2 linked regions of the Stegostoma tigrinum genome follow. The protein of the gene in region 1 purifies or fractionates together with the protein of each later gene. This does not show direct contact. Links are inferred from orthologs where the notes say so. Each region holds a gene or a part of one and is shown on either strand. Other genes may lie near its edges.

Region 1 (6,440 bases):
CATTTTGTGTGAAACAGGATGAAAGCATTATTGCCTAGGGCAAGGAAACCCTCATGATTCATGAATGACTATTTAACATTGCAGCCTATCAAGTGTCACAATCAATGCTTTGAGGATTTTTAAGATCGAGGTGATTATGAATAAGTTCAATTTGATTCAGTCAATTTTTGTCTTGTGAGAACAAAAATTCAATAGTTATGTTTCCAAAGCAAGCCTTGGATTTAAAACAATGCAAAGCAAAGTTTTTTTAACCTTTGCAGGGCCCTCTGTCCAATAGAAGCCTAAAAAGCAAATAACTGAATTTGAGACAAAATTTTACTCCTTGGCAGTTACATTTCAACTGCGTTATGTGGGAGGAATGCATTTGGTTCACCAGTTATAGTACCCAGATGTACACTTTGGCACTCAGGATATTGCTGCTGCAAACAGCAGTAGCTAGGTCAATGATAAAGCAAATGCACACTAATGGAGTTCAAAGGCAGACAATCTCACCTTTGTAGTTCAAATGAGTATTAAAGCAGTGCAACACTGAACTCACAGCCAAAATTATTTGACCTGAATTTGCAAATCTGCAGTGGCATTAATAAAATCAAAATAAGGATTCACATTGTGCAGCTAGAACATACTTATGTGATTAATCCTGGCTTAACAGCAAAGAGATATATTTTAAACAAAATGCTTGCCCCCTCCACCCCACTCCCCTCCCTGTAACTAGAATACCTTTAATAAATGGATATGTTACATAGAACCAAGGAAGTTAGTTTTATAATGATCGTCATTAAATAAAAAGTATGTCTCAAGTAGTTAACACTGAAGGGCATGACAAAAATATATCTGTCTCTTCGTACTTACCGGTGATGTGACAAATATATCATATTAATAATATCACACTATTGTGTATATGATAGAAACGTGTAACTTTGAGCAACATGACTGAGTTAAAAGCATGCATTTAATTATTGTTGGTTCCAATGTATCGATGTTGAAATTGAAATGCTTTGGCAGCAATCATAGCGCATTCCATATTGGAATCATTTTATATCTAGCATTATTACACTGAAACTTTCTCGAACTTGTATTTGTAAATATTTTTGAATTGTATTTTTCTTCCACAATATGTGTTGTATTGTGTAGTTCAAAAGCAAAAAGAAAGAAAATTCAGGCAGAATCTGACAACCACTTGTCAGCACACATGGATTTGACTGGTCAAATTTTCTGTGACACCCTATTGAGTCACTGTGTTCTCAGCCATGGTAAATGTGGTAACATTCTCATATCTGAGTCAGAAGGCTGTGTTTCAAATTTCACTCCAGAGACATGCACAAATGTCTACTATGGACGGAGTGCTGTGCTGTAGAATATAACAAATAATACTTCGCTTAACTTTAATTTGTAAATATTTCTGAGTTGCATTGTTTGTTGAAAATTAAGTTATTGAAACTTTCAGCACAATAATACCAAAGTGACATTATTCTGATATGGAATATGTTATTACTTCTGCCAAAGCATTTCAATTTCACCATCAATGCATTGGGAGACAATAATGAAATAAAAGTCTTTCACCCTACTGCCAGTCAGTTTTGATAATATGCCTGCAGCTCAAGATAAACATTCTCTCTGATTACAAAAAATTATACTGATCACAATAATAGCATCATGAAAGCGTCATTACCACCAGGGGAACAGTCTTATTTTTGTACATGACAGTCAATATTTGCTTATTATTATAGAATTGCTAAATATCAAATAAAATTGACTGATCCAATGGAGTTGCTTCAATGATTTTATATCTCTCTTCAAACTCTCCTTCTAAGTAAACTGATTTAATTGCATCAGAAATATATTTCAAATAAATAAACAGTTCTTGAGCAGTCCACTTAATCTAAAGAGATTTTATGTGTAATTTTACAACTGACTCATCACTATAGAATCTGTGTTTTACTTAAGTTGAACTTTTATTCCAAATAACTTTCTAACCATCCACCTGCTATCTCAAAGCAAGGAATATCTGAGCCCCAGGCTTTACTGTTGTTGTCAATATGGGACTGATAGTCCAAAGATGTGTACATGCGAAGAGATTAGAATTTGATGATTTTCATTTCCTTTTAGTTACTAAAGCAGAACAACTTTACCATTTTGTATCACTGTGCTTAAATTCTAATTTAGCTTTGAGCTAGGAATCCACCCCCAACCAAAACCTACTGCCATTTAACCTGGAGAGACTTTCTTTCTTATATTTTGGTAACCTTTTGGTTGGTGAGAAGGAATTAAAAACCATCCAAATCAATGAACTAGATTTTCCAAGCTTAATGCCAGGTTAAGTCTTTGTGGCTCTTCTCCAGTGTGGTTTTCCTTTAAATGTGTTCGGGATACTTCTGAGCTGTGTTTTTGCGCATAGATATTCCTGTATCCCACAAAATAACGATCACATTGGACTCCTGAATGAAATGTAAAACCAGTTTTTAATTGGTGACGGCCTAAAATAGTTTGCACAACTCTCTCAATTCCCGAAGAGCAGGTGGCTGTCTCCACCGAGCTGTCCCTAGCATAACTTCTAACATCAAAATAAAACATGACCTTTCCCTGCTCAAAGTTGAGACTGTTGTTTCCCCGAGATTTTCCCAGTAACTGGCACTGGGCTGCACACGTCAACAGAAGCGGCATTGCCAAATTCCAACACAGCCCTGTGGCTGTGGTTTTCCTTCAACAGCGCTTCATTCCGCGGGATAATGATCTATTCCCCAAAGGGTTTCCCAACACTCCAAGTGCTTTTCTCTTTGAGAACCCAGTTACACAGCAAATTCGGTATACGCCAAGGCGTGGGGCTTAGCGCCATTAGCTGCTTGAGTTGTCAAATTTGTACATGCATTTTATGACCGAGCTCCCTGAAACCCACTCGGGATGAAGTTGCGAATAACTGGATAAAACATGCAAAGTAACTGAACATGTGGCTGCAAGGGAAACTTTTAAAGTAAGCAAACTGTTGGCCCTCTTTTTAATCCAGAAATGCAACACTGGACCGCAAACGAGCTGCAATGTAATAAGGAGTTTACAACCAAGTACTCAGTTGATTTCAACCGACCAGATTTATTGGATATGCTGGAATTTGAGGGTGATCGACAGTTAATAACTGTCAGTTAGGCAACCCATATCTCACTTCCTGCACAGCACAGAGTTCTCCAAAGGGTTTCTATCACCAGTTCGGAACCCACAGTATCCAGACTTTCAACTGGACGCCCCTGGGAGGATGAGAAGCCACCAAGTGTGTCTCACACGGCCTTTGCTATCATTCATGGCCAGCAAACCTCAACCTTCCACTGCATTATTTGAGGGAAGAATCTGTACACTGCAGGTTTCCTTTCTCACACAAGCTCGTGTTGCCGACTTCGTTGCTTTACTTTAAGGCGGCCTTAGTCCCCCGGATTGGTCCATCTCTCCATCCGACACCAGAGAAGAAGCAGGTTCCGGGGACTGCCCTTCTGTTACAATGGGAGGAGCAACAGCAGCAACATACTACCCACTGGCGCCTATGTCCTTTGGACTCTGAAGTAACAAGGTGTAGAGCTGGATGAACACAGCAGGCCAAGCAGCATCTCAGGAGCAGGAAAGCTGACGTTTCGGTCCTAGACCCTTCTTCAGTCCTTTGGACTCTGACAGGCTGTCATTGCGGTATTTAAAGAGACACTACCGCAGTTCAACCCCCGCATTGTATCCCACCCCGACAATCACTTTATGAATATTTCCTCAGTGTTCTCCCTATGGACATCACTGGGAATACATACACGGTCCTACCGAACACACAGACACACACACACACTCACACACATTATTTTATGTCCAAAATGTTGACCTAGCGGGAAAGTTGTTGTTTTATCTTCTCTAGGTCCTGTCATGTTACCCTCACTCTGTCACCTAAGCCCGACTCCAGCTGTAACCATTCTCGGTGAGAGCTCCCGCTGTGAGTGAGCGGTCTCTGCCCATCTCAGAGGAGGGCAGCCCCAACAGGGTCTAACTCGGTGGGCTTCATCATTCCCGGTGCCAACTCTACTCTGCAGCTGCTCAGCCAAACACACACACACACACACACACACACACACAAACACGAGCAATGGTCTTTCCAAACCTCCGGCGCCAGAGCCTTACAGCCTCTGAAAGTTGGAGGTCTACTCTCAGTTTGCCAAACCTCAGCTGGGATCAGTACGGGGCACCGTCCTCTCCAGCCCGTCCTCTCTCCACTTACCCGTTCGAGTTTTGATGATCTCGTTAAACTCGTCTCCAGCCGAATCGTCTCTCGCACTCTCGGGACGCCCAGCTTCTGCCATCGGTCGATGTTGGAGCCTCAGCCTGTGCTCTGTCGGAAGCTGCGGGCAGCGAGATCTCCAGCGCCGCTGGCTTTCAAGCCAGTCTCCAACTCCGGCAGAGCTAGCGCTGTGTTGCAGGGCAGTTCAAGACGGGGCAGCTCCTCCTCAGGCACAGATCAGGGCTGTCACAACTTCTAACAGATACACATCAACAGGTGAGCCTCTCTGTCCCTCTCCCACCCCTCCCCAAATAAATCCACTCCATATATATCAATAATGTGGGGAAGCGGCCCAGCCCGTGTACAGAATCAGCCGGGGAAACCTGACACCCCCATAAATCAGGAAAGGCTACAGTCGGATTGCTCTCCTGACACTGACAGGCTCTCTGTCGGTCTTTAAAGGGACAGTGCCGTTCCCCACTCCCTCCGCCAACGCCATCGCCGCTACAAGTGTCTTCCCCTCGCAATCACTTTATTTCCTTCGTCAGACATTAATTGACAAAACCCTTGGAAAAGTTGGAGCAATAGTCGGTAACACAAATGACAATCTAATAGCAGCAAGCTAGAAGTGGGGTTACATCAAACTTTAAAGAAACCAAAAAGCCGAAAGAACGGCGAATGCTGCAAATCAGAAACGAACACAGAGGTGCTGTGCTGTGGAAGGGTCACCGGATCCGAAACGTTAATTCTGATCTCTCTCCACAGATGCTGCCAGACTTGCTCAGCTTTTCCAGCAACTTCTGGATTTGTTTTTAAAGAAACTAAACCTCCTTAGAAGTAATTTTAAATGACAATTATATTAAAGCAACGATTTAAGTTACAGAATCACAAAGACGTACAGCATGGGAACAAACCCTTCAGTCCAACCAGTCCATGCTAACCATAATCCCAAACTAAACTAGTCTCACCTGCCTGCTCCTGGCTGATGTCCCTCCAAACCTTTCCTGTTCACATATCCATCCAAATATCTTTTAAACGTTGTAATTGTACCTGCATCCAGGAAACTCATTCCACAGGCGAACCAGCCTCTGTCTAAATAATTTGCCTCATGTCCTTTTTAAATCTCGCTCCTCTCAATTTAAAAACATGCCCTCCCTTCTTAAAGTTCCCCAACAACTCTGTCTATATCTCTCATTATTTTATCAACTTCTATTAGGTCACCTTTCAATTTTGCTCTTTTATTTGCTGAATTCCTAGTTTCAGATCCGTTAACTTTGAAATTCTCATTCTGGTCCCCAATCTGCTACAAGCCTCAAGAGGATTCTCTGTTGCTCGAATTCTGGCCTGTTATTCAGCCCTCATATCTGCTATCCCATCATTAGTGATTCTGTCCCCAGCAATTGGGAGAACATTGATAAGAGCAGCAGGTCAAGCAAAGAAGCAGAGATGGCAAGCACCAAGGGTTTGCATAAGACAGCTTGCTTTTCAAACCATGATATAAAAGAATAGTTATTAACTAAGTTGCTGGAATGCAGCAGTTACAGAGTCATAGAGTCATGGAGTAATGTAACATAGAAACAGACCCTTTGGCCCTAACTGGTCCATGCTGACCATAGTGCCCACTCAGCTAGTTCCAATTGCCTGCATTTTGTCCGTATCCCTCTAAACCTTTCCAATCCACGTACCTATTCAAATGGTTCAAAATGTTGCTATTGTACCTGCCTCAGCCACTGTCTCAGGCAGCCCATTCCATATATGCACCACTCTGCATGAAGAAGTTGCCCCTCAGGCCCTTCTTAAATCTTTCCCCTCTCACCTTAATCCTGTGCCCTCTAATTTTCAATTCCTCATCCCTGGGAAGAAGATAATAAGCATTCATCCTATCTATGCCTCTCATGATTTTATACACCTCAGTAAGGTTACCCCTCATTCTCCCACACTCCAAGGAATAAAGTCTTCTCCTGGACAAGCTTTTCCTATAACTCAAGCCTAATAGTCGTGGCAACATCCTCGTAAATCTTCTTTGCACACTTTCCAGTTTAACTAAATCTTTCTTATAACAGGGTGACCAAAACTGTACGCAATACTCCACATGTAGCTTCACTGACAACTAATACAACTGTAACATAATGCCCCAACCCCTGTGCTCAATGCCTCAACCGATAAAGGCCAGCATGATAAATGCCTTCTTCCCCATCCT
Region 2 (6,440 bases), on another chromosome or scaffold:
AATGATGCCTCAGCATTCACCAACGTTGGTATTGGAAAGTCTGATCAATTCAAGGTGGTCAGCAGGATGAGGGGGGTGAAGAGACAAGTGCAGTGGCTTTTGTCGATGTTTGTCCCAAGCAGCTCCATGACACAGGGCACTGTGCTCTATGGTCTGAGACCAACATCAATGCCACCTAGAGGACCAGCAACTTGGTGAAAGATGTTCTTGTCTGTCAGAAACTTGTTAGTCTTCCAGTGCAAGAAATTGTCCCTGACCGAGTGTTGCAGGCTGGAACATCCCAAGGTCCAGGGCTATGTGCTGAGGGATGCGCTAAAGCTTGGGGCAATGGGGAAAAGGCCACTGTCTAAGGTCTTTCTGCGTAAGTACAGTGTGGGTCTGTTCAGCTGTCAGGCCCTCTTGTTGCCTCAGATGTATGTAAATACGATCCTGCAGAAATAAGAAATGCCTCTAGGTTTTGCAAATGCAGAGAATATCAGGTTCCAATGTTTGGTTTTCTTGATATGCAAAGACTATACAGAATTGTTTTTTTGGCTTGAAGACAAGGTTTATTTTTAATTAACTATTTTGTGCGTGTGTGTTTCTGATTAGGTGCATCATTATCCCCTACCTCTCCCTTTTGTCCAGCTTTGATGAAAAGTTGAAACAGCCTGTACACAACACACATTGTGTGGCCAATACTTTGATCCTCGTGAAATTGTATTTTGGATTACTGAAGAAGTGAAACAGCTTTTATAATTAGAGAAATCTATTCCGCCCAAAATTATGTACATAAAGGGTTTTTTTTGTGAATAAAGTTACCCTGTTATAGGAAAAACATAGTTAAAGCGGAAAGCATGCAAAGAAGATTTATGAGGATGTTACGAGGACCAGTAGGCCTGAGTTATAGGGTGAGGTTGGCCAAAATAGGACCTTATATCTTGGAATGTAGGAGAGAGCGGGGTGACCTTATTGCGGTGTATAAAATATTGAGGGGCACAGATAAGATGAATGCATCTGGTCTTTTCCCCAGCATAGCTTTAAGCATAGGTTTAAAGTGAGAGAGAAACGTTTTAAGGACCTAAGGGGTAACTTCTTCATGCAGACAGTGGTACGTATATGGAATGGGCTGCCCAAGAAGATGGCTGTGGCAGATACAATAGCAATATTTAAAAATAACATTTGGATAGGTGCATGGATGGGAAGGGTTTAGAGGGATATGGATAATATGCAGGCAATTGGAAGTAGCTGAGGGGGCACCATGGACCACTTTGAGCCGTAGGGTCTGTTGTCATGCTCTATCACTCGAAGCATATTCTTGCATTAAAAATAAACCCTGTCCGTATCACGATCAGAGATAATGGGAACTGCAGATGCTGGAGAATCCAAGATAACAAAGTGTGAAGCTGGATGTACACAGCAGGCCAAGCAGCATCTCAGGAGCACAAAATCTGACGTTTCGGGACTAGACCCTTCATCCGGAAGGATCTAGGCCCGAAACGTCAGCTTTTGTGCTCCTGAGATGCTGCTTCGCCTCCTGTGTACATCCAGCTTCACACTTTGTTACCCTGTGGGTATCGTGTAAGGCGCATTCTCTCTTAAAGCCACATGGTGTCGTAGTTCTCTGTAGAAACTAACATTAGACAAAAAACAGGTTCCCGCTCAGTTAAGGAATTTCTCCTTGTTTGCTATGTGTGCAATTATAAATTGTGGTAGTTGGTAGGGGTGTGTGACCCTTCCTGTCAAACAACTCTGCTTTTCCTGGGACTCTGGTTCTTTAATAATCTTGGCTTCGGATTCCCTTTACCAAACAGAACAGCACATTGTGCAGGAACAAACCTTGTTTTTATAATCATTTGTGCGTACCTTATGGCGTCCCGGTTCTCGTGTATTCCTCGTTTCATCAGAGGAACAGCATTTGCTCAAGGTATAATGAGGTTCCCTGCTCTTTTATGGTTGGGGCTGTGAGTGGAATCTGGGGCAGGTCTGACAGGATTAAGTTTTTCGGCTTGAAGACAGGGATTTTTAAATTAAAGTGCTAAACTATGATTTGTGCGTGTGTGTTTCTGATTAGGTGCATCATTACCTCTCCCTTTAGCCCGTTTTGATGAAAAGTTGAAACAGCCTGTACACGACAGGCATTGTGTGGCCAATACTTTTGGATCCTGGTGAAATTGTATTTTGGATTATCGAAGGAGTGAAACAGCTCTTATCGTTAGAGAAATCTATTCTCCCCAAAATCTCTCTCACGCTCAAAGCAGGAGGTGAAGCCAACTATTAAAGCCTGGGATTTCCCGGGTCAATTTCAATTTGAAATTTACACCTGACGGCCCACACCTTTAAACCAGTGACTGGTTCATTTATTCTGCACAAGACAATGTAACTTTTAGCGCGATGTAGTTACACTCCACGCCTCCCAGTTCCAACACACACCCTCTATAGTTCACATCAGAAAGTGGGTGGAGATTTTTTTGTTGTCTAACTTGTCCATCTCAAACAGGAACCGAGCTTAAGAATTTCTTGGCACTAAACGAAGTGGAGGGAGGGAGAGAGAAACAGGAATTCCAATCTCCCCTTAAGGGCTACAGCCATTCGGAGCTTTATCAACTTCTGGACCGAGTGGCATTTTAAGAATGCGACAAAGATGGCGTTAGCCGGCAGAGTACAGAGAAGTGGACTGTTAGAAGTTTTGGTCAGGGACAGCTGGCATCGTGTGCTGGCCACCCTGAATCAGGAGAATCTGATCCTGAGCTGTGAGCAGCCTGGGCACACTGCTTCCTGGAATGGACTCACCAACGGAGCGGGCTCACAAAGTCCCCAAGCCGCCTCCCGCAGCCCCAAATCCACGGCCGTACGCAACGCCTTCACCGAACTACCTGAACACATCCCCGAAACTATCAGCAACAAGAAACGGAGCGTTAGGGTCATCAAGGTACTTCCAGTTGCCTCCTGAGAGAATGGGAAGTCTGTCGTCTCCTTCCCCACCCCCCCCTTTTTTTTGCTGTTTGAGTTAATGTATTTTCAGTGATGCTTTTGTTTTGCTTTGTACTTTTGATTGTAAATCAGTTGCACGTTTTAAATTCCATTTGCAGAAAGTTGGCAGTGTTTTCTTGCAGTGACATTTGACATGGGATGGCACTCTGTTTTGCTAATTCCATACGTGTCCCATTCCCAGTCAACAGCAAAACTGCACAATCTCAACGTGCCACAGTTTCATTAGTTGGTCACTTTGACCTTTTTGGTTACATTCGACCTTTCCCAAAAAGGGAGAGGAGAAATGTTTTCGATTTAACGTCAGGATTAGCCCACGCTTGTGTCTGAATCAGTCTCTTGTGACCAAGGTGGGGATTAGATGTTTTGAGCCGTGAAGGGGTTCCAAAAATTAACTTTTTAAATAAAGAAATGGGCAATGAAAGCAGAGTTTCAGGATTCAGCTCTTTCCGCAACAACTTCTGAGTGTGGCAATAATTTCTGCGTTTGCTGTGATTTTGTTTTTCGTGCTTACCTTTTATTCACCGCTCCGAATTAGTTCGGAGTCTGGATTTTTTTTATCTATATATCACTTTACGAGTTCTGCCATTTTTTTTGTTAAAAGTGCCCAGTCATGATTAATAATCGCTGGGCTTGCAGTAGCGCCGGCGAGAGCTCTACAAGCTGTAATTAACCCATCGAATACCCAAGGCTGGCCCCTTTGCTTGGGAGGTGCACTTGGTTGCAGGCGCCTCCGCATCTGTTTATAAATTAGCTTGCATTCATATAGCGCCTGGAACATCCCAAAGTCACTGGTATCAGCTTTTAAAATAAACCATTGCGATCACTGGCCCAATCAGCTGTGACATTAAAAAAAAATCCACATTTATACGTGACTGGCAATTGCCCTGTGAAGGTGGCAAATAGCTTTGGGGGGCACTTGAGAGTTAATCACAGAGGGCCAGGATTAACTAATAGTTCCAAACCAGGTGAAGGTGGCATTTCTTCCTCTAAAGGGCAGCACAGTGGGTTCAGTGTTTAACACTGCTGCCTCAGCACTGGGGACCTGGATTCGGTTCCACCCTCAGTAACTATCTGTGCAGAGTTTGCACATTCTCCCCATGTCTGTGTGGGTTTCCTCCGGGTGCTCCAGTTTCCTCCCGCGGTCCAAAGAAGTACATGTTAGGTGGATTGGCCCAGTAGTGTCCAGAGATGAGGAGGTCAGGTGCATTAGCCACAGGGAGTGGTAGGGGGCTGGGTCTGGGTGGGATGCTCTTTGGAGAGCTGTTGGACCAAATGGCCTGTTTCCACACTGTAAGGATTCTATGGGATAGTAGTGAATCAACTCAACATCTTCACAGCAATTTTCTTTTTCTTCAAAAATGTACTTTAATCATAAAAAAGTACACATTTAGCCACAACGTAGCATATCAAGGAAACAAAGAAATATTGGAATTTGACTCTATCTAACAAACAAACCAACTCAAACTCTTACTCGAACAAGACAAGACTGTGCGTTTGAAGCACAGAGAGGGTCCGATAACTGAAGGGATCCCGACTTGCCTTCGGCAGAGGACCTCAGACTGTGGCCTTTCCCCACTGTACCTTGGTGACAGCTGCCCCAAGCTTCAGTGTGTCTCTCAGCACAAAGTCCAGCACCTTGGAAGGTGCCAGTCTACAACACTCAATCAGGGTCAACTCCTTGTCCTGGAAGACCAACAAGTTTCTTCCAGATTGCTCACCCCTGCTTTTATTTTCCTGATTTTCTTGCTTTTTTTGTTTAAACTAGGATCTGGACTGATATTCTACTGTTAAGTCTAGGTTACTGAGCATCTAAATACGACCAACTTATTAGTTAGGTGGGAGGTATTAGCATGGTTTTAATGTCACTTGTAATTCAGAACGCCAGGCTAATCGTCTGGGCTAATGGATTCAAATCCAACCATGGCAAATGGTGAAAGTAAATTAGGGGAGGTGACGATCTAGTGGTAATGTGGCTGGACTGCTTTATCCAGAGACACAGGTAATGTTCGGGAGACACGGGATTGAATCCTGCTATGGTAGATGGTGGCATTTGAATTTAATAAGAATTGGGAATTAATACTCTAATGATAGCCATGAATCCATCGCCAATTGCCCCGAAAGACCCATGTGGCTCACTTAATGTCCTTTAGGGAAAGAATCTGCCATCCTTGCCTGACATACAAGTGACTCCAGGCCCACAGCAATGTGATTAGCTCTTAACTGCCCTCTGAGCAATTGGAGATGGGCAATAAATGCTGGCCTCACCTGCATTGCACTTGTCATGTGAATGAATAAAACAAACTTGATAGAAACCTACAATAAAAAGCTAAAGACAGCCCCACCTGTCATACTTATCTGCTTTGGCCTATATGTGACTCCGGACCCACAGTAGTGTCTGGGTAACAAGGGATGGGCAATAAATGTTGGCTTAGTCAGCGATGCACAGATGCTGCAAACCCATTTTCAAAACAGTGGGTTTTCCTTCAGTTGGGATGAGGGGTGAGTAGAAGTGCTGTCAGGGTTAAGGGGAGATGAGTGTGAAGCCACTCTCTGGTGGTGAAGGCCTGTCAAAGATTGAATTGGGGCCCAGGGCAAGGGAGTTAGAATAAGAGAAAAAGAACTTCTGGCCTGTACTGGCCTATAAGGAAGCCTAAAATGAAATGTTAAAACCTTAACTATTTGGACCTGTTCAGATCTTGAGCTGATCTCACTCCTGAAATGTGTACTGCAAGGTCTGGCTGCAGGTTTGAACCAGGTTCAGAGCTAAGGCAGATTTTGCATATGCGTTTGGGGTGGTTGAGATTTTTTTTTTGTGACGTGGGAGGGTTCTGCATTTGCTCCTGCTGAAGTCGAGACTGTGCTTCCTCTTACTCAAGCCTTGGGATAATTATTGCATATTCTGTAGATTTAATCAGATTTAAAACATTGCAGGTTAACATGGGACTCAGCTTCCAGGAAGCAACTTTGGCGGAAGTGATAATTGCATCCCATTATTTTAACTACCCCTCACTCCCCTTGTCCAGCCCAGTTTTCGCCCGACAGGCACAGATAAAATCAGGATGAAAATTACAGATAGTAGTTACTTTGTTATTCTTTCTGGATTGATCCAAACTCGTTTTCTTCACTTAACAGTAGTCCTTCAGTTCAAAAGTCAAGCATTTGGCTGTCATGACATGTGAAAATTCCCCATTATACCAGAATTCCATTTTAAATGAAAACTGCATTAAACATCTTCTGGTCAACAAACATGCCCTGTTATAAGTATGCACGTAATTGCTGAGTGGTTAGCACTGCTGCCACACAGCGCCAGGGACCTGGGTTTGACTCCACCCTCGGGCGACTGTCTGTGTGGAGTTTGCACAATCTCCCCGTGTCTGCGTGTGTTTCTTCTGGGCAGTCCAGTTTCCTCCCACAGTCCAAAGATGTGCAGGTTAGGTGGATTGGCCATGAGAAGTGCAGGGTTACAG

What was found. Proteins that work in one complex are often made in the same cells at the same time.
Region 2: the proteins of dmd (region 1) and sntb1 purify together in Homo sapiens (co-immunoprecipitation; 4 studies listed by BioGRID and IntAct, counting the BioPlex papers as one, with this or other methods). This does not show direct contact. The link is inferred for Stegostoma tigrinum from reciprocal best matches to the Homo sapiens genes DMD and SNTB1.

What each region holds. Positions count from the first base shown.
Region 1 is NC_081365.1:58,610,414-58,616,853, forward strand, and holds the start of dmd (dystrophin), read right to left. Parts: upstream 4,477-6,440; 5' UTR 4,323-4,476; coding exon 4,241-4,322; intron 1-4,240. UniProt on the Homo sapiens protein: Anchors the extracellular matrix to the cytoskeleton via F-actin. Ligand for dystroglycan.
Region 2 is NC_081358.1:38,256,700-38,263,139, reverse strand, and holds the start of sntb1 (beta-1-syntrophin), read left to right. Parts: upstream 1-2,426; 5' UTR 2,427-2,623; coding exon 2,624-2,911; intron 2,912-6,440. UniProt on the Homo sapiens protein: Adapter protein that binds to and probably organizes the subcellular localization of a variety of membrane proteins. May link various receptors to the actin cytoskeleton and the dystrophin glycoprotein complex.